2 linked regions of the Drosophila melanogaster genome follow. The protein of the gene in region 1 interacts with the protein of each later gene in a pairwise test. Each region holds a gene or a part of one and is shown in the gene's direction. Other genes may lie near its edges.

Region 1 (15,529 bases):
CCCATAATTAATTTTTAACCATTTTTAGGCCAATAATTAAAAATGCATTTATTACGACCGGATGGATGGTAGGCATCGATCGCAGGGGCATTTATCGCCCAATCGTTTCGATGTGATGGATTTGGGATACGGATTCGCAGGTGGATGTAGTTTGGGTTCGGATTCGGTTGCTAATGCTATGCATAGGAATGGACAAAGGTAGCCTATGTCAAAATCTCTCATGGTGTGAATTAATAAATTAAAATAAAATAGTTTTGTTACGCAAATCATAATTTGTGTACCGTCAACATTCACTTTTATGCTTTGACTAATCTGCGCACCGAGTGTTTTGCATTCAATAGATTTTGGCAACTTATTCATTTTGCATAAAATATGCAAAGTGCGGCAATAGTTGGCACCCATTAATCATGGTCGCATTTTATTTCCATTTAAAATTGTAATTTTCTCTTGTTGCTACTTTTGAACTAATGCATTTAGATCTATTAATTAATGACAAAGTAATTTTGGTTTCCCATTACAAACAGAAAACAACTTATCGTATATTTCTTTGACAGATCTTTGCATCTTTAATGGCCCAAAAAGGGAACATAGTTTCGGTTCCATTTCACTGTTTTTCATGGCTCACGAAATTGGCGTGAGAAAGTTGAAAACCATTTTTTTTTTTTTTTGGCATCGACCAGAAAACATGTGGGCTAACTCATTATCTGGTGGCCAAGTTGCCCTTGGCTGGTTTATTTTGATTTGTGGGCAGAATTTCACCCGGCTAATGAGATGCACCCTGTCGGATGCACAAGATTTTGAAATATATCTCAGGTGGCAAAGTGGCAAGTGTGTAAGTCCAAATTGGAAAGGAAGCAGCAAAGCTTGCTATCTCCGCTTCGATATTACACCATTTGCACATTCACTCCATTAGTATGGAGACCTGCCAATTAGCCCTATAAGGTCTATATCTGCTTGTATTCCGTATGCATCTGCTTGTTATGACAACTAATTTCCGCTGGAAGCTGGCATATCCATTTGATACGCTGTGCTTTCGATTTGATCGGGGGTTATTTACCTTCACTTTTTTAGTTTGAAATCCAATTCAAATTCAATACTATCATTTTGTCTCAATTTGGCACATTTAAAGCTGACAATATATCGCCCAACACTTACGCCCCATCGAATGGAGACAAAAACCTAGACCTTGGGCCAGACCAAAACTGATGCGAAATACTGAAGTCCCCGGCATATACAATTTTCAATTTCCATTTGATAGCTCAGGTTTCGAACAATAAAACAAAATAGAGACAATGGTCCCGTAGACAAAAGTGCATTTTAAGTCGGTCGAGTAACCTCGTCCGCCTATCTTCGTCATCAATATTTACATATTACTCTGGGACATTCAACTGATCTGCAAAAACTACGAAGCTAAACAAAACTTTTGTATTAATTTAAACGACGATTTGATTGTCCACTTGGCAGCCATGGATATGCTTGGGTATTTTAATTATATTTACAATTAAATGATTAAGTAGTTTCTCAATAAATGTTTTTACTGCCTGTATGAAAAAATCTAAATATAAATCTATAATCAAATTCAATGAATTAATTGCAATATTGAGATTGAAGTTAGTATAGTTACTAGGGATCTGATGAATGAATAGTTATTTGAATTTTGTTTATATTCTGAAATCGTATTAGATACTTGCTTGGAGTGAACGCACACTTAATATATATTATATTTATAAGGCAAATGTTCAAAATGATATAGTTACAGCTCGACTAACTTGTTTACAACAAATGCAGATTTTTTTTTGTCGTATCTGTATCACCCATTGTTGGGGCTTCCTCTCGCTCGACTTTTGTGGAACCCCATGTAAAGTCGATACAAAAGCCCACTTGCCACCCAGCCAAATGAATCCGAACAACCTCTTCGCCACGCATAACAAATGTTTTATGACCCCTCGACTGTTGCAACTGTGTTGGCTGCTGTTTCACGATTTGTTTCCGATTATAAACAAGTTGGGCCCGTGGATTGGTATAAAAGGCCAGGTGCCCGGTTGACCCATCATCACAGCACTAAGAAACTCGGACAGCGAGGGAGCATCCGGCTTAAGACAGCTAACCAGCAGAGAGACACCCACCCAAGCGGCAGCATGAAGATATTTGTGGTGCGTTGGAACTTGGACTACCTCTATGCCAATTGGATTACAAGGGATTATAATGATTGCTTCTCTTTCAGACGGTTCTGATGGGCGCCATGTGCCTGAGCCTCAGCCAGGCTGACATCAGCTTGACCCAGGCGGGTTACAACTACCGCATCCAACAGCAGCAGCAGCAACAGCAACCGCCCATTGTGGCCCACCTGTTGAACCAGCAACTGCAGCAGCAGCAGCAGCTCCAGCCCCAGCAATCCTCGCACCCGGTGCTTCCACCTCTCCCACTGCCCTACCTCCCGCCCGCTGGCCAGTTCCATTCTGCCCAGCCTGCAGTTCGTCCCACAGCCGGATCGTTTCCCATGCCCGCCGGCTTCCCCGTCAATTTCCAGACCGCTCCCATCCAGCAGCAGCGACGCGCTCGTCCGCGTGTCAGGATTCCCAAGCGTCCCATTGTGACCAAAAACTTTTTCATCCACTCGGCGCCCGAGGAGTCTGAGGATGAGGTCCAGGACGAGCTGAACCAGTTGGCCCAGCAGCCCCGTAACCACTACAATGTGCTGTTCGTCAAGACGCCGGCTCAGACCAATCGCGCGGCGGCTCTTAACTTGGCCAAGACCCTTAAGCAGGAGAAGACCGTGGTCTATGTGCTGGCCAAGAAGACGACCGCCTCCGATCTGCAGGATGCCATTGCCGAGGCGCCACAGCACATCAATAAGCCGGAGGTGTTCTTCATCAAGTACCGCACTCCAGAGGAAGCTCTGAATGCCCAGCGGCAGATTCAGTCACAGTACGATACTTTGGGAGGAAGTTCGACCATCACCGACGAGGGTGTGGCCCCCATCACCTCGGTGGTGGGATCCCTGGATCCTCCAGAGGAGGAGGAGGAGGAACAGCAACAGCAGCAACATTCAGAGGGACAATTTGCGGAGAACGGTGCCGGAAACTCTGGCGTCGGTCCCATCGGCAATCATTATTTGCCCGCGAACCAGTTCTAAGTATTCTTCATTGCTCGTCACATCCAGATCTAGTTAGCTGTCATCAACACCACTTAGGTTTAAGTGCTTGCCAATGTTACCCAAATCCGTATTAAAATATAATTGTTAAAAAAAAAACCATTGAATTTTAACTAGATGACGATTTTAAGAAGTGATTAATAGTACTTTAATAAGTCCCACTAAATGGGAATGAATTTAGCTTTCCAAACTGAACGAACGTATTATTGGAATAAGAGGAATTTTTTTGGATCCAAAGTATGTTCTAGGAAAACACATTCAATACTTGCACTTAAGCTCTGGCGGCTTGTCTTTTGAAGCTGGACATGTTTCAAGTACATCCTTCATTTCAGCAAAGGACTGCGCAAGCGCCTTGGCGATCTTTTGGTGATCAGTTGCCTGACAATGTCGCCATGCGGATATGGCCAAAATGATGTCATGTTCACGGGGATTGTAGCAACAGGCATATCCATCTTCTACAGAAGGTCCATATCCCATGAAGGCATCATATTTGGTGGCCACCTGCGAAGTGGACATTCGAAAGTGCGTGGACTTTACATATCCTGGCGAAGAGAAGAACTCCGGAACAGGTAGGCAGTTCTCCACCGCCATTAGTTTAAGTCCAAAGAGGTGACGATCGACACCCTTTCCCAGAAGCGCCAGCTTCGCATACATCTGATGGCACATCACTGCCTCGCGAATCTTACTAGCCCGCTCCTGAGCTGATGCACTCACATCATCCATGGCGTGGCAAAAAGCCAGGGATTCATTGGAGCACGAACGGATGGTTTCGGTTCGGCCGCCATCGAAGATGCGCAAATGCGCCGATTCATATTGAGCAGCTGGCTCATAGTGCAATTTAAAGAATGCCAACTGCAATGCCATCTGAACAAAGCTATCTGGACCAAGTCGCTGTTTCTTGATGAAATCCTTGCCGTAGCAATCGAACTTAAGAACCTTCATTTGCAGGTCCTGGACAAGTTTGTCCACGTTTTTTTGCGCGATTATCAACCATTGCTCCACGCATTTGCTTACATCACAGAACTTTATTTTCTTCGCTGGAATAAAGTTTTCCGATCCGCATTCCCCATAACTAGGGTCATCCTTCATCTTCTTCACTACATAGTCCATCATCATTGCGATCGGTTGGCCCTCGGCTGGTGAGTGCTCATAGGTGAATCCAACGTGTCCATTTGGGTTTACCACCAATTGAATTGTCTTATCCATCCAGCGGTTGGCACTGTTGCACTTGCTGCCCTTTCCATGGATCAGCGTAAGGATCAATTCTTCGGCATCTCGACCTTCTTTTGGACTGGTACACTCGTCGAGGGACACTGTGAACATAGCATTCTGAATGGTTTTCAGGGCAACTCTATTACGGGGCGTATTTGACAAGTGTTCGTATGCCTCGGCCCAGTTGTCCCGCGAATCGGTGGTCAAGATTCCATAAGGAACTCCCGGTTCCTTTTCCTTTGCCATTATTTCCTCCAGTTGAACAGCCAGACATGGTGCAATTATAAGCTTTCCTTCCTTGTCGTATATTTTCAGTTGATAAAAGTGATTCCGGTAGATAACCACCACATAATCAGAGCACGGATTGTAGACGATATCGTCGGTAAACCTTCTCGGTATCCGGCATGTGCCGAAAACCTTTCCAAACTGACTGTTGTCCAGCTCGTTCTTGCCCATTTTCACAATCGGAATCTTTTTGGCGTGCACCAAGTCATTGAACTCACCCAAACCGAAGATAACCCTAGACGTGTAGTCCACAAATTCGTGGACACTTTCAAATTTCTGTTTGGGAAAGGTCATGCCGGGACTGGAGAAGCAAGTCACTGGCGACCGAAACTGTAAGTAGGCAACCTTCAGCCAGCGATGGGCTAACCAGTTCTTCTCCTGTTCACCAGTTTCTTCGAGGAGCTTTTGTAGCTTAGCGCCCTCCTTCCTCTGGAATTCGTTAGTAATCTTCTCTTGCTTTTTGAACTCCTCGGGTGTCAGCAATGGTTGTACGGTAATCATGAAGCGGTTGAGGATTTCTTCAAGAGGTAAGACATGATACTTTAGAAGGTTTGGCTGATCGGATTTAGGCTTATCCTTGGCAGTGCTATAGCTGGCAATTGGCATTTTTTTGCCGAACGTATATCGAGTCTGTTGCAGAGCCGATATCCTTGCGAAATTCCAAAGGACCTTTCCATTGTCACGGAACTTCATGTCGGCCTTGGCGGTTCTCAAGAATTACCCTAAAAAGTGCAATGCGCACTTTACTTGTGTTCCAAATATATGTATAATTTTTACGAATTTTTACAAAAATAGCCACATTGTTACAGTAAATTTCCAGTTTGCATTGATCAGTTACATTAGTTAAAATAATTTAATACAAACTATACATTTTAATGTAATCAGCACTATACGTTCTTCTAAAAATGTGTAAAAATTATCGTTAGATATGCTTCATTTTATAGCTTTCATTTATATTTTCAGAGTTTGAAAGATTTTTATAATGTTATTATAATGTCTATCTTGTCACTAATCCTGGAGAGCAATCATTTCCTCCTCGATATCCTCAGAGCTGTCCGTTTTGGATAGACTTAGGTGAGTGCGTATAAAGTCGTGATAATATGAAATTGAAGCGTGAGCATCTGTAGAATATAGTAAATGAGCTTTAATATGTATTTAACGCATATTAAATTATTATTACCTGGATATCCTTTAGCACATGGCAGTCCCCAGTTGACCAGAGCCACCAGCTTGCCATTGTGCACCAGAGGACCACCGGAATCTCCATGACACGCTCCGCGTCCCTTGTCATTGAAGGTGCAAACGTGGCCAATGTCCACCCGAGTGCTATTGTCGTGGGCAGCTCGACACTGCTCGAAGGGCACATAGTTGACCTCCAGACTCTGCAGACGGGCGGGAACATCTCCGCCCAAGGAGAGGGTTCCCCAACCGGTTAAAAGGAGTCGGGATCCTGGAACCAAGGCCTCGTGATCCAGTTCCACCGGTTGAGTGGCATTATCAAACACAATCGATTCATTCAGATGCAGTAAAGCTATATCGTTGCGATACTTGCGTGGTGCATAGTTACTATGCTCCACAATCCTGTCGGGATAGTAATACTTGGATCCATTTTGATGCAGATCCTGTGTGCCTGTTAGGACCCGAAATGCCGTCGCCTGTCTGCCTCTTGTACAGTGAGCCGCCGTTATAATCCACCGTTCATCGATGATAGCACCGCCACAGGAATGAGCTCCACTGCCGATTCCTTGAAGGGATATCTGATAAGGTGCCAGACCTGCGGCAGCCTCCTCCCCGCCCACAATGCGATTCTTGGTATACTGCGGCGGATATAGGATCTGACTTGCGGCACTCGAAGTGAACAGAACAAGTGGTAACAAAATGAGCAACATAACGACTCCTTGTCTTTTGAATTACTGAATATCGTAACACCTCTGTAAACGTATCTTATAGGTAAATTGCGATTTACAATTACGAGTTCAGTCACGTTTCGCAGCCAATATCTGGTTGAAAAAGTCCAGCTGAGTGGAGAACCCTTCATTCTAGGCAACCAACCACCACTCAGCACAAATAAGGTTGTTCTGATAACTACGATTCACTCTAAATTTACATAACAGGAACTTGAAACAAGGCGATAATTAAACTGTTTATTTAACTACATTAAAAGCCTATCCAATAAACAAATATATGTACTATCTAGGTCACAACTAAGTGACATTATCCCTCCACAAAATTTTTGGTGTTTTGACATATGAGAAAACATTAAAGAAATTCTTTAAAAATTTGAATCGACTTATAATCAAAGTAGTCTTTCAATCAGTTCTATTTAATTATCTTATAATTTGAGAACCTGCTGGAAAACTACTTAGGTATTGTTTATTTCCATAGTCAATCATACTCGAGTCTAATCTCTACATTAAGTAATGCCACAGGTGATAGTCAATACTTTCTGATATCCCACTTCTTTCTAACTGGCGCTTGTTTGTTTGTTGACTCAGTTCTCAGAACTGAATATAATGATGGATCATACGAATGACTGGGCTTTGGAGAAGTGCTAAAATTGAACACCCGCCTTAAAGAACATGACATACGAAAAAGTTTTTATTTAAACTGAAGCGCAATTGTTCATTTATTCGTTCATAAATATTTTATGATATCTTTGATATCTAAGTAATAAAATTTACAGTCTAATTTGATCAATTTGCAGAAGCCATTAGATGGCAGCTGCTATTTTTGTTCGGTTTTGGCTTTTGTACCCCCACGGGTGACTTTTGGACCTTTAGCACGCGGTACCAGCGTCTGTCATCATCTGTTCGATCCAATCGTGGTAGTAGGCGACCGAACCGAACACATCCGGATAGCCAATGGCACAGGCCTCGCCCCAGTTGACCACGCCGACGAGGGTTTGGTTGGCATCAACCAAAGGACCGCCGGAGTCTCCATGGCAAGATCCCTCGCCCTCCTGGGTGAAGGTGCACACGTGTCCTTCGCTCAGCCAGTTGGCGTTTCGCACTCGAGACTGGCAGTTGTCGTGATCGATGTAGTTCAGATCGATTTTCTGCAGCTGGGTGGAGTACCTTCCCCAGGTCTTGGTGCTGCCCCATCCCGTCAGCGTTAGCTTATCTCCCACCTTCGGCAGTGATCCCTTGCTGGCCAGTTTAATAGGTTGAGTCAGGTCGTCGTAAACAATGGGCTTAGCCGTGTGGATCAACGCTATGTCATTGTGATAGGCTGGCTTGTCGTGACTGCAATGGATCTTCGATCCATCTACCAGATACTCCGCTCCTGGTCTCGTATAGTCCACTGTGCCGGTGACAATCTTCAGATACTGAATGGGCCACTCCATGCAATGGGCGGCGGTGAGGATCCATTGTGGCGCGATGATACTGCCACCGCAAACATGCTCGCCAAAGGTATTCATGATGGACACCTGGTAGGGAGCAAATCCAGTGGGGGAATCGACACCTCCAATCACACGGGTCTCGGGCTTCACATGGCCCAAATGATGATTTAACTGGTGACGACGATGAATCTTAACGCTTTTCGCCGAACATTGAGACAGGATCACCAAAACACTGATCAGTACTAGACACTTCATTTTGGCTCAAATATCTTGAAATATTTGTTTCAATTAATTGTAATAATTGTAATTTGTAGTGTTGTGTTGTGTTCAACTTCCGTAAGCGGAATGCCCACTTTTTGGCACCAAAATCGCTTTTATAGCGCTGTGCAAAATTTCCTTATCTCTCGAAGAGTTTCTTTTAAATATTTTTTGCGATAAGCGTCTCAGTTCGGGGGAAGCTTCGATAATGACAATTTCCATAGCCCGTATATAGTAACCTGATAGGGGGAATTCTATAGCCATTTGGACTGAGAGTGATAGACAACTAGCACACGACCGTAATAATATTACTCATACGCAACGGGGGCGGACTTTGTGCTAACTCGAGTTGTGCTAGGCAGATCTTCAGACGTCGTCGGTTGATAGGGTCGTAATCGGATGGAAGTTTACTTGAAATTCACCTGGAATAATAGCGAAATGATTGAAGGCCCATTGAAGATACTGAAGTCGGCATACCCTTAGGGTAGGCAAGTTAAAGGAATAGATAGGACAATCTTCAACAAATATTAAAGGATTTATAAAAATAAATTAGATAACTTCGATATGGAAACCTACTTACTTATTACTTATTTTGTTTTTTATCAAACACTAAAAAAGTATATATTGTATAGACATAGTTCTGTGTGTCATGGTTTGGTAGTGTATTATATTGTTTCTGAAAAACCAGTTCATTTTTATGGCTTCAATGAAATTTTGACGTTTTACTTATCACCCGCAATTACAACAATTGGCAGACGTCTGGACGAGGGATTATCAAGATTTCAAGTTAATCAATTGTTTCACATACTGGATTTTGGACTTTGACATAATTTAGGAGACAATGTATCTTTTGGAACATCCGTAATAAACTAGGTAATATAAAAATGTTCGTCTGGCGATATTGAAAATGCGTACCACAATTTTTACAGTATTTTATTGAATAAAGTTATTTTTCCAGGATAAAAGTAATTGATACGAATTTTTGCACTTAGGAAATAGCACATCCGTTAATCGTTGATATAATCCAGCTGTAGTAAAAGCTAATGCGGGCAAAAACATCGGGAAATCCATAGCCGCACGGAACGCCCCAGTTACCAACGCCCACCAAGCGACCACGACTGTCAACGATGGGTCCTCCGGTATCTCCATGACATGCTCCGGCTCCCACCTTTCCCACGGCACAAAGGTGACCCACATCCAGATCTGGAGTACCGCCGTACGTGGCATTGCACTTTTCCGGCGCGACATAGGTTACATCCAACTGCTGCAGCTGCCATGAGAAATCTCCTCCGATCTCCGTGCTGCCGTATCCGTACATGGTTAGCGTTTCACCATCGGTCAAATCCTCCAACGGAGCGATTGTGATATTCTGAGTGACATCATCGTAATCGAATAGTGCATGCGTCTTGATCAGGGCAATGTCATTATGGTACATGGGGCTGTCGAAGTTGCAGTGCATGACGATATCCTCCACGGAGTATATCCAGCCCTCCGATCCCCAGTGATTATAGGTGGTGGTCACCACCTGCACGTTGTTCTTTCGCAATCCAGCCAGGCAACTAGCCGCGGTGATGACCCACTGATCGTGGATAATGGAGCCGGCACAAAAGTGGTTACTTAAAAGAGTTGCATAATTCACTATTTAGACTTCAAAATAAAATGTTACTTAAGACACTAAAAAAATATATTGCTTAAAAAAATAGTATAATTTCTGTGGTAATACGTTAGTAATTGTTACCAATAGGGAAACTAGGATAACATAAATAAGGATAAGTTAATTACCCATAGGCGTTTTGGAGCGAGACTAGATAGGGTGCCGCCAGGACATCGGATTCTTCTCCTCCGACGATTCGGGAGCTAAATTTATTCGCGGTTTCGGATTTTTCTGAAGTGAAGGCCCGACGGCGTAAACTTGCCTCCGAAAAGGATAACGCCAACAGGACGAGGACGAGTGTAGAAACCGCTCCGGTTTGGTAAGACATCTTGGACGAACAGCTGAAGTTGGACTAATTGCAAAGCAGTGCAGCTAAAAAGAAACTAAGCTCCAATAAACGATATTCAGTATACGATATTAGATATTTGGCGTGATATTAATGAGCCGCCATAAAGGTATTGCAATCTCAATCATGGTCAGCCTGAACAAAACCCACAAATTCTCCCCTCGTAAAAATCCCATATCTTTTTATAAATCAGCAAATCAACACAAATCATGTTGCCAGTACATACACTTGGGTAAAAAATGAAAAATGTTCAGTTACATAAGGTAACAAATTGTTAGATAAGGTTATTTTAATTAAAATCTATGATAAAGGCTATATATGCTTAATTCAGAACGTTAACCAAAAAAAATATTTTTTTAAACACCAACCCTGAAACAAATAATTTTAAGCAAGTAGAACTGAGCTTAAATATCCCATACTTAAAAATACTTTGCCCAGAAATAACTGAGATTCGAAAACGTATTAGTGATAAGAAAAAATATACATTCTTTAATGATTAAATCATATTTAATAGTGCTTTTAAAATATATTTGTCATATTTAAAATCTCTGGCCGCATGATGAGCCGCATTTCTCTCAGTGCACAGATACGAGGTACCCATGACTAGGCGATCGTACATCCATTCATGGTGGTGCGGATCCAATCGTGGTAGAAGGCAGTACGCGCATACACATCCTAGTGGATAATAATAGGTGGCAATAAATACATATATTACTCTTCGATATAGGCGGAATACTTACCGGATAGCCACGTCCGCATGGCACACCCCAATTACCGATGCCTACCAAGCGCTGCTGCTCATCGATAAGCGGTCCGCCAGTGTCGCCATGGCAGGCGCCCTGGCCCGCGTCCATTTGGACACACACATGACCCAGGTCCACATCATCTTGGTTCTGCAACTTCTCCCGGCATGCGTCCACCGGCAGATATGTGCCGGATGCCTCCTGCAGATAGCGACCATAGGTGCCCATGGCCTCGGAGCTGCCCCAACCGGCAAAGGTCAACTTATCCCCCTCTTCCAATTCATCGATATCCGCCAAGGTTATATTCTTTGTCACATCGTTGAACTCGATTTTGGACGACAACTGCAGCAGGGCTATGTCATTGTGATACAGCGGCTTGTCGAAGTTGCAGTGCACATGGATCTGGCTCACAGTGTAGTACGGAGCATACAGATCCCACCAGTCCACAGTTCCAGTCACAACCAGCAGATTTAATGGCCTCAATCCCGCCACGCAACTGGCCGCTGTGAGCACCCAAGTTTCGTCGAGTATGATGGCTCCGCACAAGTGATACGAGTATGCATTTTGGATACTTGCTATCCAGGGCCAGTTGCCCTCGGCGGCGGTGGTGCCACCGATCACACGACCTTGGGGCACAGCTTCGGTGGAGCGATGCCTCTCGATATTGGCCAAACCCGGAAGTGGTTCTCCTCGCATCCTCATGGCTTCCGTTGGCCCCTGAAGAGCCAGCAGAGTCAGACCCAGCAGCACCGTAAGATTCCACCTATTTGTCATGGTTGGTATATGCGCGGTACAATCGAAACTAAAACCCCTCAGCCGGGCCACCTTAAAATTACACTTCATAGGACGGATCTTATCGCCCAGTTTGGTCGAATTTTGGATAATAGGCAGTTTATGGGTCTGGACACGGCGATAAGTGGCATATGCGGCATTGCGGCCGTGGTCATTATGAGCTGACTCGCTAGTTCGACCGGTGCATTTATAGAGTGCCGAGATTTGCCGTGTCACACAAGTCCATGGGTTTATGAGCAACCAGGTCCAATTGGACGTTCCGCCTTTACCGATTGGGTTTTATCCTTGCAGCCGTAAAGATACCTGACTGCGAATGGCCATAAAGATTGCTGGCCAGTGGTCAGTTGGCCGCGAAAAAACCCAAGTGAGCCAACTCCCGATGTGCGATAAAATAGGTTTATATGGAATGCATATAAAAACGCTCAGTTGGGTCATACAATTTTCCATTGCTGGTCATTAATTCGCGCTGTCCGGCATTGTCCCTCGTCTCGGAAATATTTGTTTTGGATGATGGCTGTCCGTTTGTCTCTGATTTGGCTGCTTCTGCTGGGCACTTCCATTGACGTCACGCGCGGAAAGCGTTTGGACAATCGTAAACTTTTGGACAATCGCATTGTGGGTGGCCAGGAGGCGGAGGACGGAGTGGCACCTTATCAGGTGTCCATTCAGACCATCTGGAAAACCCACATCTGCAGCGGAGTCATTCTCAACGAACAGTGGATCCTCACCGCGGGTCATTGTGCACTGGACTTTAGCATCGAGGATCTAAGGATTATAGTGGGCACGAATGATCGTCTGGAGCCAGGACAGACCTTATTTCCGGACGAGGCCCTAGTCCATTGCTTGTACGACATACCCTATGTCTACAATAATGACATAGCGTTGATCCATGTCAACGAGTCGATTATATTCAATGATCGCACCCAGATCGTTGAGTTGAGCCGAGAGCAACCTCCGGCGGGTTCCACGGTCACTCTGACGGGATGGGGTGCTCCGGAAAGTAGCTATCCCACAGTGCAATATCTGCAGACCCTCAACCTGACCATCATCGCACACGAGGAGTGCAGAGAGAGATGGGACTTTCACGATGGCATCGACATCGGTCATATTTGCACCTTTACGCGAGAGGGCGAGGGTGCCTGCTCCGGAGACTCCGGTGGTCCACTGATGTGGGAGGGCAAACTGGTGGGCCTGGTCAACTGGGGCAGAGCCTGCGGCGTCGGCATGCCAGACATGTAAGATGGTGTATATCCACTCCCCTTTAAAGGTGGGAATTAATCAATTGTCAATCCTTTTAGGTATGCCAACACGGTTTACTATCAGGATTGGATCCGCAGGACTCATTCAGGATGCAAGAATCGTGTTAACTAAAAGAGATACAAGGAGAGAGCGATTAACTGGCATCATTATGATGTATTTTTGTATAAATATGTGAAATAAATGTATTGACTAAAGCAACGCTGATAACTTTTACCCTTACTCATGTGGTCATTGCCTGCTTTTAGATGGGCAATCACAATTTTATGGAACTGTTTGCTAACATGTTATGGCATAAGATAATGTCATGCTAGGGCTGAAAAATTGTTTGTTATATGTGAAATTATTTGGCCTAATCTAATGTAATAAATAGTGATAATTACTTTTAATGAATTCAAATGGATCATCTCGTAAACTAAGAATACTGTTGTTGTTCAATTCGTTGCATTTCCGTTATCAAAATGTATAGTCCAGATTATAGATCGGCTTTTATTTAGACTTTTAGGTATGCATTAAAAAAAATTAGTAAATTTTGAAGATGGTAAAGAGAAATTTCCTGATTGCAAACAACCGCTGGCGGCATCTCCAAAAATGAGATGATTTTAAAAGATTCAAGATTTTTTGAAACCTTATTAAAAATATATTCAATTAGAATATGATATTGGAAAATACGACTTGCTTGATCAAATCAATATATCATTTAGATATTTGACGTGGATGGTAATAGATGCAACCCTCGGTTTTACAAAGTCCAGTGGTAATATCCAGCAAGTGACCATTCTAGATATTATTCTTATCCAATGACGGCGCTGACATTGATTGCCCTGTCACAAAATGATAATCAGTGTGCGTCTATATCTTTTTACGATATCAGGCTTTATGACATAGATACTTGGGGCGGAAACATTGATTTCGATTTACGATAAAACCCCAAGACTTACGATAAAACGTTCGAGTATAAAAGAAAAATCACTGCCCATATGCAGGCTTAATTGTCGCATTGAAAGTCAAGCACCCACCACCATTATGGTTCGACTGGGTGTTGTGCAGATCCTGGTGATCCTGCTAGCTTGTACTTGCTATAAGCCCATTAGCGCCGTGCGTTTGGCGCAGCTTAGTGAGGATCAGCTGGAGTGGATCTCGAAGGCGGAAGGAGTCAACTTCCAGAATCGCGTAATCAATGGCGAAGATGTGCAGTTGGGCGAGGCCAAGTACCAGATATCGTTGCAGGGAATGTACGGAGGTCACATATGTGGCGGATGCATCATCGACGAACGCCATGTCCTGACGGCAGCCCACTGCGTATATGGCTATAACCCCACCTATCTGCGAGTGATCACAGGAACTGTGGAGTACGAAAAGCCGGATGCCGTGTATTTCGTGGAGGAGCATTGGATTCACTGCAACTACAACAGTCCCGACTACCACAATGATATTGCCTTGATTCGGCTAAACGATACGATCAAGTTCAATGAGTACACTCAACCGGCTGAGCTGCCCACAGCTCCGGTGGCAAATGGGACGCAGTTGCTCCTCACGGGCTGGGGCTCAACGGAACTTTGGGGCGATACGCCCGATATACTGCAAAAGGCTTATCTCACGCATGTCGTGTACTCGACTTGCCAGGAGATAATGAACAACGATCCGTCGAACGGTCCATGTCATATCTGCACACTGACGACTGGTGGACAAGGAGCCTGCCATGGCGATTCCGGCGGTCCGCTGACGCACAACGGAGTACTCTACGGTCTGGTCAATTGGGGTTATCCCTGTGCACTTGGAGTTCCCGATAGTCACGCCAACGTGTACTATTATCTGGAATGGATCAGAAGCATGATCTCGGGACCATGTAGCAACTGTCACTGCTATGCCAGTAACTATCCCAGCCTGTGATCCAAGGGGACGACGATATGCTGAGCAAGATATACAATTTTGATTAGGTAAGAATGTACGGTGACTAACTTGTGGAAATAAAATCAATGGCAGATTAACAATAAGAAAATCGTGTTAGTATTCCTTCTCAGATAGTCAGGCAATATAGATTTCTATATCTACTTTTGAGTGTTTACCCATATTTTATGGTTTATTATTAATTTCTATTTCATAACTATAATTTCATATATGTAAGTAAATTTGACCTTTAATTTATGAGTCTATATTTTCTTGTTAATTGTGTTTTCAAATTAAGCCTGGATAAGCGAAGGCGTTCAAAAAAAAAGTGGAGTTATTTTTAGATATGGTTTTTTTAATTCCACTTGATAATAAACCACATTTCAAAAGGCCACTTTTATAATAGTCTTAATTTTTCTTTATTTTCCTCTGAAATCTTTCTAACAATTTACTAATTCAATTTGGTAAGTAAATTAGTAGTAGCATTTGTTGTTGCCACTGAGCTTGCTGCGAATCCAGTCGAGGTAGTAGTACACATTGGCCTGCACATCGGGCAGTCCGACACCGCATGGTCGTCCCCAATTGACCACACCCACCA
Region 2 (17,625 bases), 3.4 Mb from region 1:
TGTATGTTTGGATATACTCGTATTACAAATTGACCTGTCATGTTCTCTTTAACGATTTTCAGTTGGGTTTGTCAATGCCGATGTCGGACCAAGCGAATCAGAATGTCGACCCTACATTGAAAAGGCTATTCATGAATTGAAAACAGGTAAGGGCTATCTTGAGTATCTGAAGAATTTCAATTGCGTTAAAACCATCTTATGAATTAATAATATAGTTATTAAATCTGCTCCTTAATTGAATGATTCATCCTAAAATTTCCATGTTTTAAAAAACTCAACCATCAACATTCATACACGTGTACGTGTTAATAAATTGTATTAATAGACCAATTAACATATAGCTACAAATCAACGTCATATCTTTTTAAAATATAATGAAAATCCTTTTAGCCATTTAATTTTTTTTTATTAATCTATCGGAGTACTCATACGATTTCAGATGGTGTCAGGGATGGATCTGGAGAACTGCAATCCGATCAGCCACGTGGGGACGACGACGATGACGACGATGATGGTGGGCATTCTGCGGTTGATGAGAAAGATACGATTGAAATTGAAACTGTCGAATTGGATTCCACAGAGGACGCGAAAAGTGCCAACGATTTGGATGGAGATGGAATACCCGATGACGAGGACGATGATATCGATGGGGACGGCATTCCGAACGAAAAGGACGATGATATCGATGGAGATGGCATACCGAACGACGAGGATGATGACATCGATGGCGATGGCATCCCGAATGAAGATGACGACGATATTGATGGGGATGGTGTGCCCAACTCCAAGGACGAGGACATCGATGGGGATGGTGTGCCCAACTCCAAGGACGAAGACATCGATGGCGATGGCAAGGCAAATCACGGTAAGAATCATGGTACTCCTGATCCACCTACAATGCTCTCATCTAAGATTTTATCTCACAGAGGATGATGATCTAGATGGTGATGGCACTCCAAATCATGGTAGGACCATAAATTATATTTAATATTTGCTGTTGTATATTTATATAGCTTCATTTATACGCTTTGTATATTTGGTTTTTAGGTTTATTTTTATCTGATATTACTTGCAGTTTAATTTCTAAACTATTCGCATTTATTATTTCAGATTGAAGCTATTTTGCGCTATAATTCGTTGTTTATTTCAACATTTTAGCTTACTTATGAACGAATTTTTATGTTTCTTCAGTCTCTCACTAGTTTTTTAAATATTTCAGAGGACGAAGATCTCGACGGGGACGGTGTGCCCAACGAGGAAGATGATGACCTCGATGGTGATGGCAAAATAAATCACGGTGGGTTAACAGACATATTTTTAAAGGCTAAATATTAATTAAAAATTTAAATGTACAGAGGATGAAGACCTCGATGGTGATGGAGTGAAAAATGACGAAGACGAGGATCTGGATGGAGATGGCAAAGTAAATCACGGTAAGAATAATTATAGCATAAAAAGTCTTGAATTATTATAAAACATTTTTTATTTGAACTTGTTTTTTATTTTCAGAGGACGAAGATCTTGATGGAGATGGCGTGAAGAATGAAAAGGACGACGATTTGGATGGCGATGGTACCAACAATTCTCGTATGTATATATTGACTTAGAATAGCTAAAAACTGTTTTAGTAATCTTAATGTAAACCTAACCATTTCAGAGGATGAAGACCTAGATGGTGATGGTGTGCCAAATGAAAAGGATGACGATCTGGATGGAGATGGCATCCTGAACGAGCACGACGGTGATGTGGATGGCGATGGAGTTCCCAATGAACACGATCACAAGGATAGCGGTGAGAATGCCGATGATGATGATGACGACGATGATGAGGATGACAAGGAGGCGGTCAAGAAGCGAAGCAAACGTGAAGTGGATGCTGCTCCTGTTCTGGACATTGAGGCTCCACCAAGTCCCGCCGAAGAATTTCCCGTAGAGGAAGAAATCGTCAAGGAGGCATCTGCCGAAGAGGAAGCCGAAGTTGAGGCTGTGAAAGAAGAGGAGCCCGAGCAGGAAGCTGTTCAGGAACCCGAACCGGAACCGGTAGTGGAACCAGAAGCGGAAGTGCAACCCGAACCAGTCCAGCAGGAAGAAGAGAAGGCCGAATCTGCGGAAGCGAAGGAGGAGGAAAAGCCAGCACCAGTTGAGGAGGCTGAGGCTGAGGAGGAATCTGTGCAGCCTGAAGCCGCTCCCAAAGAACCCGAAGCTGTCCAGGAGGAAGCACAGGAAGATGAACCACAAACCGATGGCGCACAAGATGCCGCTGATGATGATGATGACACCAAGCCAGAGGATGAGCTTCTTTGGGTAAATCTCTACAAAGATGTATATAGTATTTTAATAATAATTAATTTATAATTTTTAGGAAGGACACATTCCCGAGAACCGACGCAGTCGCCAGCACATCACCGAACTGCTCCAGTTGGATGAGGAGTTCAATGCCCGTGAGAAGGCTACCGACAACGTTGCTGAGATCATCCTGCGGGACATTAAGCGCATCTACGAGAATGCTGTCAAGCCCCTGGAGACCCTGTACAAATATCGCGATCTGAGCAACCGCCACTTCAGCGATCCCGAGATCTTCTCAAAGCCACTGATTCTATTCATGGGTCCTTGGTCCGGCGGCAAGTCGTCCATTCTTAACTATCTGACCGACAATGAGTACACGCCGAACTCTTTGAGAACTGGTAAGTACAAAAATGAATGGTAAATTTATGTAATTAAATTTATTTATGTATATATTACATCTAATTTCCTTATAATATACATATATTGCCGCTGAATTTGTATTTTACATTCTTTTTTTTAAATATTCTAAACAAATCCGTATAGAAATTCCATTTTCCATTTGGACGGTTGCAAATGATTTGTATACAATTTCCTATTAAACATTTGTTTATACATTTCTTTGACCCGCAACAGGTGCTGAACCCTCTCCGGCCTACTTCAACATTCTGATGTGGGGCAATGAGACGGAGGTTCTGGACGGCACTCAACTGGCGGCGGACTACACCTTTGCCGGCCTCCAGAAGTTCGGTCAGGGATTGGAGGAGCGCCTGCGTGGTCTGAAGATGAAGAGCAAGATCCTCGAAAAGGTAGGCCAAATGCAAACATATCTCGCTGGGCAGATCAGGGAGAGATGCTTATGGGCGCCGCTAAGCATTAACTTGTCGCCCAGGGCAGCAGCCCGTCGATTGGGAAACTGCAAACAGCTGGCCACCTGCCAAACGGAATTTATAGCTTTTAGCACACAAGCTGTGGGCATTAATTTTGTTATTAATAAATTAAATGCGGAACAGGGCAGAGAGTACACAGTACACAGATAGCAAAGCTAAAATGGCTGAGAATTACTATATTTAAGCGCTTGACGATGCGTTTTTCAGGTCAACATCGTCGAGATACCCGGCATTCTAGAGGTGCGCAAGCAAGTGTCCCGCGTCTTCCCCTTCAACGACGCCTGCCAGTGGTTCATCGATCGGGCGGACATCATCTTCTTGGTCTACGACCCGGCCAAGTTGGATGTGGGCCCCGAGACGGAGGCCATTCTCGACCAGCTGAAGGGGCGCGAGTACCAGACGCGCATCATCCTCAACAAGGCAGACACCGTCAAGCCCGAGGAGTTGTTGCGCGTCCAGGGCGCCCTCATCTGGAACATCTCGCCATTGATGTCCTCCGCCCAGCCGCCGCTGATGTACACCACCTCGCTGTGGACCCATCCCTACCAGGATGGTGCTCCCGCCCGCCTGCTGCTCGCCCAGGAGCGCGCCTTCTTGCGCGACCTGCGCACAGCCATCGACAAGCGCATCGAGCACAAGATCGCCAGCGCACGTCGTTTTGCGGTGAGTACTCGGGCGTATGCGTGATACGATTACGATTACTTTGTTGAGAGAAGGTGTAAATGGGCAATGTTATAAGAACCTTCAGTGAATATTTGAATATGTGATAGAAATGAGCATACATAATCAATTCAAAAACCATTTCCTATTATAGTTATTGTAATGAATTGATAATAAATTAAATCCATCCATTTGCATTCACAGGTGCGTGTGCGCAACCACGCCAAGATGGTGGACTGCTACCTGAACACGTTCAACAACCACAAGACGCTGTTTGGCAACAAGAAGCGCATCGCCGATGACATCATCGATCATCCGCAGAACTACCACATCTACGAGGGACTCTCCACACTGACGAACATCTCGCGCTACGATCTTCCGGATCCGGAAGTCTACCGCGACTTCTTCCGCCTGAATCCGCTGTACGAGTTCAAGAAGCTGAGGGACACCTGCACCTACTTCCGCGGCTGTCCGATCACCAAACTGGACCTGGCCATTGCCTACGAACTGCCCGAATTGGCCGGCAAGTACAAGAAGATGTCCGAGGCTGCGTTGGCCGCCATTGAGGCCCAACAGCAGGATGGAACCATAGGCCAGGCCGAGCCTAAGAGGACGAGTTGAGGTGTTGGCTCCTCCCAGAGGAGAAAACCTGCCATTTAGTTTGTTTTAGTGAGAGATAGAGAGAGAATGTGACATCGGCACCGGAAACCGTCTATAGGGAATTAATATCGAGAAGGGAGAAATGTTATAGAACCCCCAGAAATCGGTAGAGAACAACAGCGCAAGACAAAAAACAAGGACATTGTTTGAGGAGAGAGAGGTATAGCTTAGCTAAAGAGAGAGAAAGCCGGATAAAGTGTGTGAGAGAGAGGGCGAAATGAAAGAGAGGGAGGCAAGAGCGTTTTGAAAAAACAAGCAACTTTTGCTTTGGAGAACTTTCAATTTCAACCGCCTTGCAGGAAATATTTATTTTCATTTAATTTACTACAACTTAACCGAACTGAGAGCTTTATGAGAGGGAAACTAATACAATATCGAGAGCAAAACACACACACAATAAATAATTTCATATTTATCCAAGTAGAGAGGGAACATAGAGTCTTTTCTAGGCGAGTAGATCAGCACTTATCCCAAATCTGAGAGCAATAACTAATAGACGAACTATCGACGACCTCTAACCCACAAAGCATAACCCTAAAATCCGACCCCTCATTGGCTAATAGCAGCGTATAATTCCCATGTTCCCGGTTTTTTTTCATCTTTTCTTTCCTCAAATAGTAAAGGACAACAGCGCAGAGTTTTGATTTTGAGATCTGAGATTTGAGTTTTGAGCAAATGGAATTTCGTAAAGTTATAATTTCTTTGGTTTCTTGTTTCTGTCCCTGGCGAATTTTCGTAGCTTATAAGACTTTTTGATAAAAGCAAACAGTGAAGACGATAATAATGAATTTAACCTATTTAAATAGAACAAATAATCTTGTTGACGAGCGAGATCAGCTCCTATACATAAAATACAAATAATCAATTTGACACACTGAAAGCCTATGTAAAAAATGAACTGTGAGAGCGGGTGAAATACACAAATAAATAAAAACAACAGAAAACCCCAAGCAATCGATTGTTTTATTATTCAAAATCAGTTGATTTTTAAACGATTTGTATTATTGTTTCGGAAAACAAATTACAAATGAGTAAAGGGCAATTTAGTTTGTTTTATAATAGTTTTTATGTAACAATCATCCGTTATCATTTAGTAATCATCTTCAGAGCAAGAGAGTTAATCAATAAAATTTTTCAAAGTGTATTTTTACATTCATTACATTTTACATTCGGTATTTTTGATAGTATTTTTGGCTCAAATCTGGCATCTGTTATGCTGGCAGGGTGACCATGATGATACCACTCTGTTAAAACATATGTTCAAATTACCTAACAAAATTTGACAACACACGCGAATCAGGAAAGTGGAAAGGCAATAAACCCGGCCGGAATCAGGAGAAAATGCATACGGATCTTTCCTCACATCTGCACACGCCCGCTTGCAACAAGTTGATCGAGGAACTCCAGGCCTGCCACGAAAATGTAAGTAACCGGGATTTTATTTTATAACCGGGATTTATGCGAATTCTGCTTGCAGAACGCCTTCGCAAAATTTGTGGGCGTGTGCAACTCCATTGACGACAAGGTGGTCAAGTGCCTAAAAGGCGAGAGAATCGCCCGATCCGCCGCTAATCGCGCCAAAGCCCGTGAACGTCAGGCGAAGTACAAGGAAAAGTTGCTCCAGCAGGAAAGTAACTAAAGGAAAGAAATCAACCAGGATGTCAGTACAAGCAGATGATCCACTGGAGCCATTCTACTTCGAGCACGAGGAGCAGGAGATCTGCGGGAAGCTCGTAGCTCCCATTACAGATAGCTTCCAGGAGGATTACCCCAGTGTTGTAGATCGTTTTTTCACCAGATATTACTACTTCAAGGGAGATGTTCCCTACCAAGTGCTCTACCACTCCAATCGCATTTGTCTGATTTGCCTGGCTCCCGAGCACCCTGCTCTAGCTCAAGGCATCTCATCGGTCAACTTTGATATAGGGAACGTAGATCGCAGCCAGAATGTGGTCAAGGGAAAGGGTAAAAAGGGCGGAATGATCCTACAGGCGGAGTCCACCTTGGCACTGCTCACCACAGCAAATGGAGGGACTTACAAGGTGCCCAGCTGCATTCGGGGCAAGCTGGTAGAGGTGAACACCGCCATTGTGGAGGAGCCAAAGCTTCTGGAGCAACTCCCCGAGGGAGCCGGCTACTTCGCCATTCTTCTGCCCAAAATCGAAAACTGCGATGCAATCAAGGCGAGTCTTTTAACCCAGGAGCAGTATGAGGAGCGCCTAAAATCGAAAAACGAAGGTCTACCTCAAATTGAGTCCACCGGGGACCACGCTCAAAACAAAAATAAGGAGATTCAGGCGTGATTTTGACCCTTGTTTTGTTGTGCTTCTTCTATAAGGCCTTTGTATTTTAAATTAATGATTCATACATATATTATATTGCTCAAAGTCAATGAGGACTTAAATAATAATAATTTTGACAGTAAACCACAAATAATATTTTCTGAAACTTGTGAATTTTGTTAATACTTATGGTCAAATGTAATGTCGGGTCTACTATTTAATTTCCAGTAAATTTTATTTCTTAACAGCCTGTTAACTCCGGTGCATTTACAGAACTCTGCCCACTTAACAGCACGCTCCGTAATAGTTGGCAACTCAATGCAACACGTGTGGACGATAAACAGCTGTTCGGGCGGCAATTTAGTGGAAGCGAAACAAAACCAAATTCGTTAACTAAATCTTAAAAATGTCAGCTAATAAGCAAAAGAAATTGAGTACCATGGAGGTGGACCCCAACGAGGATGTCTCCAGTTCCAGCGAGGATGATGACGACGACGAACCGCATCCAGATGCCTATAAGGGAAACGAGGTAATCTAAGTGCCTCCAAAATATGAAAAGCAAATGTGTTTCAAAATTAATATCCGGCTAGGAGGTGCAAATCGACTTTGAGGGACGAGCTCCAGTAGATCCCGATGCCCAGGGAATCTCTCAACTCCTGCAGCGACTATTCCTTCGTGCCCACATCAACTGCAACCAAATGGCGGATTTGATCATAGGTGAGCACTCCAAGGTACTATCTTGATCTATCTATCAGCACAACTTTTTTTGTTTCCAGCCCAAAATTTTATAGGCAGTGTGATCTGCCAGTGCGACGACGAGGGCACCGAAAGCGAAACGGAGGACGACAACATGGTCGAGGATGGCACCATCTTTGGAATCACCTCTGTGCTGAACCTGACCGCCAAAAAGGATCAGCCCAGCATCGCCCAGTTAAGGACCTACATACTGGATCGCGCCAAGACGCACGCTTCTCCGGAGGTTCAGCAGCAGTTGAAGGAGATTCTAGACAGCGAGCAGCGCCATGTGGGATTCTTGATCAACGAGCGCTTTATCAATATCCCTGCCCAGATCTCCGTGCCACTGCTGCAGAGTTTGCAGCAAGAAATCGAAGCCGCCAAGGCCAAGAAAATGAAATACGACTTTGGCACTCTGCTGCTGCTGGTTAAGTTCTACAGGAAAGAGTCGAAGAAGGGCAAACCGGGCGAGGACGTGTACACCAACGCTGAGGATGAGTTGCTTTCGGATCGGGCTAAGTTCTCCTTCGAGTATTCCATGGCCTCTGAAACCGATTCGGGCATGTCTGGCGATTGGCTGGAAGGCGATGCCGTGATGACGCCCTACAGGAAACTCCTGGTCCTGGAGGCCAAAAAACTTCCGCAGCTTATTGACGATATACAACGCTTTATTAATGGCGAATAAATATTTTTTACATTTAAAACTGCTGTGTTATTTGGCCTTAATATAACACCCCGACAAATATCTAATTAAGAAGTAATAATGTCCGGTCTCTAACGACCGATAAGCTTCTATTTCTTTGTAGTCCCATACAAAGAGTATCAAAAATTCGAACCGAAAGCTTTCCACATCCTTTATGACAATTGGCAACGCGGGCAAACCACAAACAGCTGTCACTTGGCCGGCATTTGAAAGCTTCGCACATGCCGGCTGGTCTACTGTGAAAAAAAAACCTGGTTGCCATTCCTTTGTTTTTTGCCACTGGTTAGTTTTGGCCCAGAAACTGCATCCACCGTGGACGTGACTGGCAAGAGGAACCCACAATAACAATTCCGAAGACCGAGCGACGTGAGTAGACTTTGCCTTTATTGTTTACAAGTTATATCCGAGTTCTAGAATTACGTACATAGCGAGCATACTGGCGATTATTCATCGCTCGTGCGATTTGTTTTCATTCGAAAACGCAAGTAGCAATTAAAAAAAAAAAACCTAAAGCCCGGCTCGCTAGTAAAATGTATAAAAAGCTTGGCCACCCAGCCAGAACATTGCAAATCGTCGCGGAGAGCTATCACAATCGCTCCTTATCGCCAGCTTTCCGTTCCAGATCCCGCTCCCAAGTTTCCAGTTTCCAGCTGCAGCGCTTTGTTCCCATCAGGGAGGTTCAGTGACGCCCCACTTGCCGATCAACCAAGTCGCGTGAGCTGCCTGCGAAAAAGTACTCATCATGGGTATCGAAAAGTGAGTATTTATTACCAACAGTTATTAGAGGGTGTGTTTTAAGTTAGCGCGGATCAGTTATCTAGCCACCGCTTAGCGACCGATTGGAAAAGCTCTCAAAGATTCGCCATCTTTTACAGTGAGGGTTAGTCGCTTAGCATCCATCAATTGCTATCTTATTTACCTTTCCCATAATTCCAAAACGAAATTAGAATGTTTTTAGTACTGCATATCTCAGCGTTTATCAGTTTTAATTAGTTGCCGGCAAGGAATAGATGTCATGAAAATTCCAAACTTTATCTTTTCCCAAAATAAAAACAATGTTTGGCGAAATACTGTATAAAAGTTAAAGGGGGGAGGTCACTTAATTTTATCATTATTACTTAGATAACGAGTTCTTGCTACTTCTGGAAACAGATATATATAGATCAACTTTTATTGTTTGATATGGGGCACTTCAAAAGATAACACAATTAAATGGTCAGCGACATAGGATTATTCTCCAAAATATTATAGACCCAGTTACCTAAGGATTGGTATTTAGTAGAAACACTTGAATAAGATTACAAATATTCTAAATAAGTACTTTAACACCATTTGTGCTAATACTTGGTACACTTGTTTCTAAATTGGAAATCGGTTTGTGATTATGGTCATTTCGAAAGCTTATCGCGATTCTTTATAGCACTTCGAGTTAAGATAAGCCCAGCGCCAGGAATGAGGGTAAACGAAAGGGGAACACACTGAAACATGGCCATGGTTGCTCCTAATACAGTGGGGACATTTTCTTTTGAAATAATAAATTGAAATACAAAGGCAACAGGCTGTTATGCAATATGAACGACTGCATCAGTTAATAAAGCAAATGTGACGTGATAAAATTCAATTCAATTAAACGCTATTGCACATTTAGTTGACACCCAGAAATGTTTCTTAATGAATACCAATAACGATTCCGTTGCGCACTTTAACTCTACTCTACGTGTGCCCCTCCAGAATTCTACCATGCACCCTCCGGCTGAACAAGCTGATGAGTCTGGCCGGCAACGACTGCCTGTGCATCATCGATCGCAATGCGGTTCCCAATGAACTGAAGGCCACCTTCGAGGAGCACCGCAAATTCGACAAGTCCTTCGACAGCAGCATATCCTGCTTTAAGGTGCCCAACGTGGATCAACCTGTGGTCTATGCCCCCGTCTCCGAGCTCACCGACTACGACGATGTGAGGAGCTACCAGGAGGCGGCCAAGCGGTCCATGGAGAAGGTTCTCAAGGTGGGTTTTTTTTTTCTATACATATTGTGTGAATTATGAAAGAAAATGTATATGTATTCTTTGCCAGGCTGGATTCCACACGCCGTTGCTGTTTGTGCCCAAGGTTAAGCGCTTCCCCGAGGTCGAACTCTGCACCGTTCTGGGAGCTCTGGAGCAGCTTTATGTGGTAATATGGATTATGTTTACTTTTATTTCAATCAATGTGCTAAAACACGTTTTTTAGCCCATTCAATTGCGCGAGGCAGGAACTTTGAAGGACCCCCGTGTGACCACGCTCAGTGTCCAGATCGATGATCCAAGGGCCGAAGCTATTTTCCAGGAAGCTCTCATTCTGGAGGCCGGTCGCTTTGTGGCCCGCGACATCGGAGTTGGGGACCCGGAGCGCATGACGCCCATCCAGGTGGAGAAGTACATCAAGCCGTTGTTCGACAAGCTCAACGTGAATGTGATCAGTGACACCCAGGTGTTGCAGAAGGAGTATCCCCTGTTTGCCGCCGTAAACCGGGCTGCTGATGCAGTGGAGCGTCATCGTGGTCGCATCATTTTCCTGGAGTACAAGCCTCCAAAGCCGGCGAGAAAAACTCTGATGCTGGTCGGCAAGGGTGTTACCTATGACACCGGTGGTGCTGACATCAAGGCCGGTGGTGTGATGGCCGGTATGTCGCGCGACAAGTGTGGAGCGGCTGCTGTCGCTGGATTCATGCAGGTGGTCAGTCAACTGCAACCGGATGATATCCATGTTGTGGCTGCCCTGTGCATGGTGCGCAATTCCGTGGGCGAGGAGTGCTACGTGGCCGATGAGGTTATCACCTCGCGAGCTGGTCTTCATGTGAGGATTGGAAATACTGATGCCGAGGGTCGCATGTGCATGACCGATGCCCTGTGCCGCATGAAGGAGTTGGTCGTGGAGCAGAATCTCCCGGATCCGCATCTTTTCACCATTGCCACCTTGACTGGTCACGCCTTCATCTCGGCAGGTGAGGGTCAGTCGATTGCCATCGATAACAGCGTGGCCCATCGGGAGGATCACGCCAGAAGACTGCAGGCTGCTGGACAGGCCTTCGGAGAGCCCTTCGAAGTGTCCATTCTCCGTCCCAGTGACTTCTCTTTTAACGCTGGAAAGGTGATTGGCGAGGATTTGGTGCAGGCCAATAATGCCCCGTCGGTGAGGACTCCTCGCGGTCACCAGGTGCCCGCCGCCTTTATGATTAAGGCTTCTGGACTGGACAAACACGGGTTGGATTCAATGCTGCCCATTAAGTACACCCATATTGATATCGCCGGCAGTGCCGGTGAGCACCCAGCGATGCCCACAGCTGCCCCTCTTGTTTCCCTGGTGAAGACCCATCTGCAGAAGTAAATCATGTCCACCTAATATTCAGGAGGATGTGTACACGATCACCACAAACAGTACTTATACACCCACGTGCTTAGCTAACCAACAATATTATCCTACTAACTGCATCACTGTTTTTTAATAAAGGCAAAACCGAGTTCAGATTGTATTCATAAATGTATGTCACTAATTTGGTAATCGTTTACAAATAAATGTGAAAATGATTTGTTTTTTTCCTTAAGCTTACAAAGCAAATATCTCATTATATTCATCAACATGGAAATATAAACATTATATCATCCCATTATAGAGAATAACCACCCTACATATATTTGTTAAGTATACAAGAAAGCCGCGTGGGTATTCGGTCTTTTTTATTTCTTTTTTATTATTACTGCATTTCCCAGCTGCATTGTTTGCATAATTGGCGGGTGCCCTGCATTTCGAGCTCTTGTTGGCCATCTACGGTATGGCTCGTACTCCTGCTCTTCCCCTTTCGCAGCCTTTTCTCTTCAGCTTTGCAGCGCCTTCTTTTTTTGTAGCTTGGCCCACAGCCTAGAACCCGTTAGTCGCTTCTTGGCCATGCTCTTCGCTTTGGGCCCCGTTCCCGGGAGCTTGGCCCAGCAACTTGGCGTGGATTGGCTTGGTTGGGGGATGGGGATGTGGATGGGGCCCGCTTGTCAGCTGTCGCATGTGTCTTGGTACCGTTATTGCCTGGCTTTGGAAACTCGGTCAAGAGTGTCTCATTCATGCTGTGATTGCATAATATACCGTTGGCTCCCGTTGGCCTTCTTCTGGCTTCTGACTGCGGCCTCTTCCCGTTCTTGGCCGTTCTCCCGTACCAATACCAACTTGGTTCCAACCTCTTTCTCCATCTGCGATGGGTGCGCTTCTGGGTAATTTATTGACAGTCACACTGGCCACTTTTGGTCATCTGGCCAAGTCGGAACACTTGGACTCTGACCGGGCTAACGGTACTTATTATTGATGAACGCAAAAGTCTTTTTCGTTGACTTGTCTCCCATTTACAATCCGTTAGTGTGAATTTATTGCCAAGGCGGCACGAACCAAGAAGAAGGCCTCAGCAGCAACAGAAGTGGGAGAAAAGAGGGAAGATCTCTGGTCTTGGGAGGCTTTCTGGCTTCTTGACCACTTAACGGACCATCAGTTGACCTGATTATGGCAGGACTGGTTCCTGGACGCTTCCTGGCCACTATCCGCCAAATCTGGTTCATGCGGCAGATGATTAATCGATTTTATTGGCATCCATTTTTATGGGCTTGTATTGAGATTGCGGAAAACCGTATGGCGTATATTTGTGGTTAAAGAAATCGTCAAAAATCTTACACGTAAAATTATAGCGATCTTAACGTAGTTTAATTTAAATGATTTTGTTGGAATATGTGAGGTAGCATTGAATGTTGGTTCAAAGCAGCTGACATGACGCCTGGCCCCCCAGTAAGATATCAAAAACAACAGACCAAGGAGCAACAACAGCAATGAGGAACAACAATCCGGTATGGACAATCACCAAAACACCTTGTCAATTGGGCGCTTGTCTTTTGGAAGCAGACGAACTGGCTCCAAGTGAGTGCTGCAGTTGCTCCCCGATCCATAAAGTCGCGAAAACGGCAAATGAAGAAAACATACCATTGGGGACCTGGGACTCAAGACGTCGGCGGTGGCGGCGACGGCATTAATAATAGCAAACAACAGACAAGCAACACCAAATGAGGGGGGCTGTGTTGCTGCTGCTGCTGCTGCTGCTGCTTGTTGCAACTTGCAACTCTTGCACCGGCAGCAGCAGCGTCAGCAGCAACAGCAACCACTTGGAGCAGCAAACGACAGAAATGATCTTAAATGAATGCGGAAGTTTTTCTTGGGGTTTCGTAACCAGCTACAGCAGCAGCAGCAACTACAGCAACTGCCGCAGCAGCAGCAGCAACACCAAAGAGGTCGCAATTCCAGTGGCAGCAATGTTGCTACATTTATGTACATGTGTTTGTCGGCCAGTCGATGCCGTGAGCCCATAATCATAGATGCTGCCGGCTAGGTCGAAAGCAGCAGCCCAGTCCATGGACATATTAAAATTAATCCAATGATTGCAGCGGCAGCCGCTTGAAAATTGTTAGCCAATTTGGTAGCCCCTTTGGCAGGCTGTTCGTCGTAGCCAGTTGGCCTCACTTCAATGAGCAGGGAGCGTGTGAATCGGAAGCTGAGGCACCCAGCTGCCAATAGTCATTTGATCCTGGCCCAAAAGCTCGGCCAGTTTCCCATGTGCCCAACCAGTTGGAAGATGATGCAGCAGTTAAAGCAGCAACAAGAGCAACAGGAGCAGCAGCAGCAGCATCAACAGCAGCAGCTGCTCAAATCATCGAGTTCTCGAACGTACCAAGTTCAAGGCTGCCAGGATCCATATTGAATGTCCTCCCCCGCCTGCAGTTGTTCATTCATGAACGAGAACCCACGAATCCCTATGCGTGGGTGGGCCAAAACAGATCCTGCCTGAGAACAGACAAATTTCTGCATAAACTCATAAATATCAAGTTGATCTAAACGGGATACGGGATCCCAGAGGCGCCGGCGCCCTGAACTTGAAAATCCAACAAGGCCGACCAGTCACGTACCAAGCAACTTGACAACTCATAAATAAACGCTAAATTATGAACTCCAGTCGAATTTGGAAAAGGAATTGAAATGTTTTTGCCACACCACACAGATTTTCCTCTGTCAGCAGCGTTTCAGGAAAACCAAACAATCGGCAAACCCACAGCAGGCTGGGCTGGTATGCACGGAAAAGAAATGGGTAATTTCATAATATAATAAATGTACTTAAAAGGGAGTAGAATGTTTTTAAAAATGTAAAAAATAATATATGCTTATATAATATATTATATATATATATTATAATATATCTTTTTAAAAGAGATTTCAATAATGACAAAATAAATTACCACCCTATAATATGATATTTAGCTTGCACTTATATAATTTCCAAAATCCTTACCTAAGCATTTATGGCCAAAGTGTTGAATGAGTTTAGAATATTTCTCTGTGTGCAGAGAAGTCGGCTCATAATCCATAATATTGTGTCATGTTCATGATCAACGCGGCCTCAGCCTTGGCGAGGAAAATGTATGGCTGGCCCACACCTTGATGGCAAAATTATTCGGAAAACTCCTAGCCGAGCGAATGAAAGTAAAGGAAAGGCCCAAAAACCACAGCCAAAAATTGAAAACTGAAAACTAAAAACCCAAACCCAAAAGACTGAAAACCGACAATTCGACCCGCTCGTCGGCTAATGAAGTGGTAAAAAGGGGCTTGGAAAACTGCATGCCAATGCATTTGGTATTGGTGTTGCATTCGCTGTTTGCCACCAACGCCGCTTGGCTCGGTGTTGCACTGGCGTTGCTAGCTTGCCTCCTCGCAGTTGGCTTGCCATTTTTATGGCCTCTTTGGGTAAAATGTTAACAACTGAGTTTGCCGAGGAGGGGGTAAAATTATGAATTTTTACTTTCACCGCATGTGGCAATTTCAGGTTTGCCGGCAGGCTTGAACTTGAGGCAAACACCAAGGGAAGGGGCAGGGGCAAAGGCGGCAACAATTGTCAAGGCTGCCAAAGGTCACAAGACCCGCAATTTGAGCGAAAGGTGTGGTCGGGCCGATAAGCGAGTTTAAACACTACAAGATACTAGATACCCTATCTATATGAAGATGGGTAATATAGATTAGAAAAATAATACTCTTGAAGAGAGATTTTATACAAAATTTTAAATTTCATGAGAGTGGATTTGAATTGGGTTTACACAACGGTAAATACAACTTTAATTATTCACTTAAATTAATGGCTAAACAAATTATAGCAAACGTATATGTATGATCAGCAAAGATTTATAAATGCAACATAATTAATGTTGAAAGCTTAGCAAATCAGTAATGTTGTAAGAAGGTAATTCATACGAAAATCATTTTTAGACTGAAAAAACAATTTCGAAATGCAAACAAACCTATATATGTTAATATCTACAATCTTAATATTTTCCTGAAGAGGGTCTTAGTTAAGATAAAAAATCTCTCCTCTCATTTCTCCCAGTGCTTTTCACACAGATGCATTTGAACCAGTCTCACACACTTCCAGCCAGATCATAATTGATTGCAGCAGCAAATATTTTTATGGTCAGGGCCGAAATCACTTTTGGCCAAGCGAGAGCGAAGCTGGTCAGCCAATTTGCTTTTAATCTAGCCTGATGAAGATGTCCGCGCCGATGGGATTAGCAGGCCAAAGAAGATGTGGCTCGGGAATCTGAACAGTCATACAGCGTTAGCGTTGTTGCAGCAGCATTTCCGCATTTTGGCCAACAGAGAGCGAGCGAAAGAAGAAGAACGTGCTCTTAAGGCCCACAATGCTGCTCTTAAGCCCCAACCGATTTCGGAGGTTCGCTTCAAACTGGCTCACTCGGCTGCTTGGCCGGGCCCAAAAGGTTTGAGCCAAGTTCGGCTCGGGCCCATCATCGGTTGGTTGGATCTTCGGCTCCATGGAGGCAACAATACGTCACTAGGGTGAACGTACTCGCGGATGTTAGTGGGTCACTATTTGTACGGTCAACGAACCTTTGGCCGCTTGTAAATACAACAAAAGAAAAAGCCCGGCCAGCAACTTGCTTTCTTTCTTAACTTTTTTCTCACACACCAACATCCAGCCACAGCGATCCAGAGATGACTCTCGTCTCTCGTCGTCTTGACTGACTTGACTGGTTGACTTGCAGTCGTAATTTACTTGGGCTATAGGTTGATCGTCAACAGCCCCCTAGCCCCCTTTCCTCCTGCTGCAGTCCCAACCCCCTGCTCAGTTGCATCCTGATGCTGCTGTGGCTGCTGCTGCTGCCGAAGCTGCTGGCCGTATTTGTTGCCATCTTGGTTGCATTGGCCAAGATGAGGCTGCTGCTGCTGCAGCTCCAGGCAGCTGCATTGCTTGGTGTTCTTATTATGCCCCAAACAGGTCCATCCATGGGAGGCTCTTTTCTTGGGCTCAGGCTTCAGCTTCAGCTTTGGCTTTGGCTTTGGTTTGGCTTTGCTTGGCTCGGCTTGGTTTGGCTTGGTTTTCACATGATTATCATGATCATCATTACCATCCGCCAGCCGCATTAATATCGTCATCTTCGGGCCAACTGTGCGACAGGGAGGGCAGCATCAGCCAAAACGAGACAGAGCGATTCGAAGAGCTACATACGTTCACATGCAAGTTTCGCCGGCTGGCTCTGGCATGACTTGTGGTGTTTGACTTGTGTGTAAGTCAGTCCATAGAAATGCATTTCCGCATATTTTACACCACTAAAAAGTCCAAAAAGAAGGAGGAAGGAAAAAAATTGGAAAAAAAAAACATATACATATGTTTGTTTACTCTTTTGTTGTGGGGCGTTCGTTAGCTCCATCTCCGGGTAATTGAAACCATAATCATTATCTGCTGCCTGCAGCTCAATCAGCTCAGTTCAGTCCTCTTCAGATCTGCTCAGTTGTTGCCGCTCCATTATAATGGAGTAATTATGGCGTGCTCGAGAGCCAAGAATTTTCTGCACTGGACCTCAATGCCAAACAATTCCCTTTTGTCATGATATGGCCTTATCTGTTACTCTGTTACTCCAACCATAGTTCAGCTTTCCTGATAAGATGTCACTGAACCCCATTGGCGCTCGACTTTGTTTACCACTTTCCAATCATTTGCATTGTCTCCGAATATTCATGCTGAATTCTTGAAACCCCATGCGAATGGGTGAATTATTCAAATCCAGCTCGGCTGAGTATTGAAATGTTAAACACACATGGTGTATTAGAATTTCGTCTGATTTGCATCGTTTACATAGAAAATTTTTTAATATTTTGCTTTAACCTTAACCATTAACTTAATCATATTGTAATGTTGTAAAGCCTCAATTCATTGCATTCTTTAGCCAGAATGCATACATTTACTAATAACTAGTAGGATATTAAGAGTTAGCAAATCAAATACTAGCGATCTCTCTAATATTTCTAAGCTCATATGGATGCCAACAGATCCATCATCCTAACGC

Evidence for each region.
Region 2: the proteins of TwdlW (region 1) and CG9286 interact in a two-hybrid assay, tested with the Drosophila melanogaster proteins (one large-scale study listed by BioGRID).

Annotation. Positions count from the first base shown.
Region 1 is NT_033777.3:17,128,922-17,144,450, reverse strand, and holds TwdlW (TweedleW), read left to right. Parts: upstream 1-2,046; 5' UTR 2,047-2,138; coding exon 2,139-2,153; intron 2,154-2,224; coding exon 2,225-3,136; 3' UTR 3,137-3,243; downstream 3,244-15,529. Other genes in the region: CG5265 (uncharacterized protein), read right to left, coding at 3,413-5,344; CG5255 (uncharacterized protein), read right to left, coding at 5,660-5,772, 5,832-6,540; CG5246 (uncharacterized protein), read right to left, coding at 7,428-8,246; CG31267 (uncharacterized protein), read right to left, coding at 9,238-9,865, 10,032-10,231; CG31266 (uncharacterized protein), read right to left, coding at 10,853-10,924, 10,990-11,766; CG4053 (uncharacterized protein), read left to right, coding at 12,295-13,019, 13,083-13,155; CG17475 (uncharacterized protein), read left to right, coding at 14,068-14,934; CG31265 (uncharacterized protein), read right to left, coding at 15,405-15,529.
Region 2 is NT_033777.3:13,773,873-13,791,497, forward strand, and holds CG9286 (uncharacterized protein), read left to right. Parts: upstream 1-7,091; 5' UTR 7,092-7,181; coding exon 7,182-7,304; intron 7,305-7,365; coding exon 7,366-7,492; intron 7,493-7,551; coding exon 7,552-8,195; 3' UTR 8,196-8,210; downstream 8,211-17,625. Other genes in the region: CG9297 (uncharacterized protein), read left to right, coding at 63-146, 440-865, 927-965, 1,220-1,297, 1,356-1,433, 1,510-1,587, 1,658-2,304, 2,363-2,684 and 3 more; CG42375 (uncharacterized protein), read left to right, coding at 5,835-5,915, 5,971-6,132; CG9288 (uncharacterized protein), read left to right, coding at 6,152-6,796; Dip-B (dipeptidase B), read left to right, coding at 8,956-8,969, 9,945-10,221, 10,289-10,387, 10,445-11,581.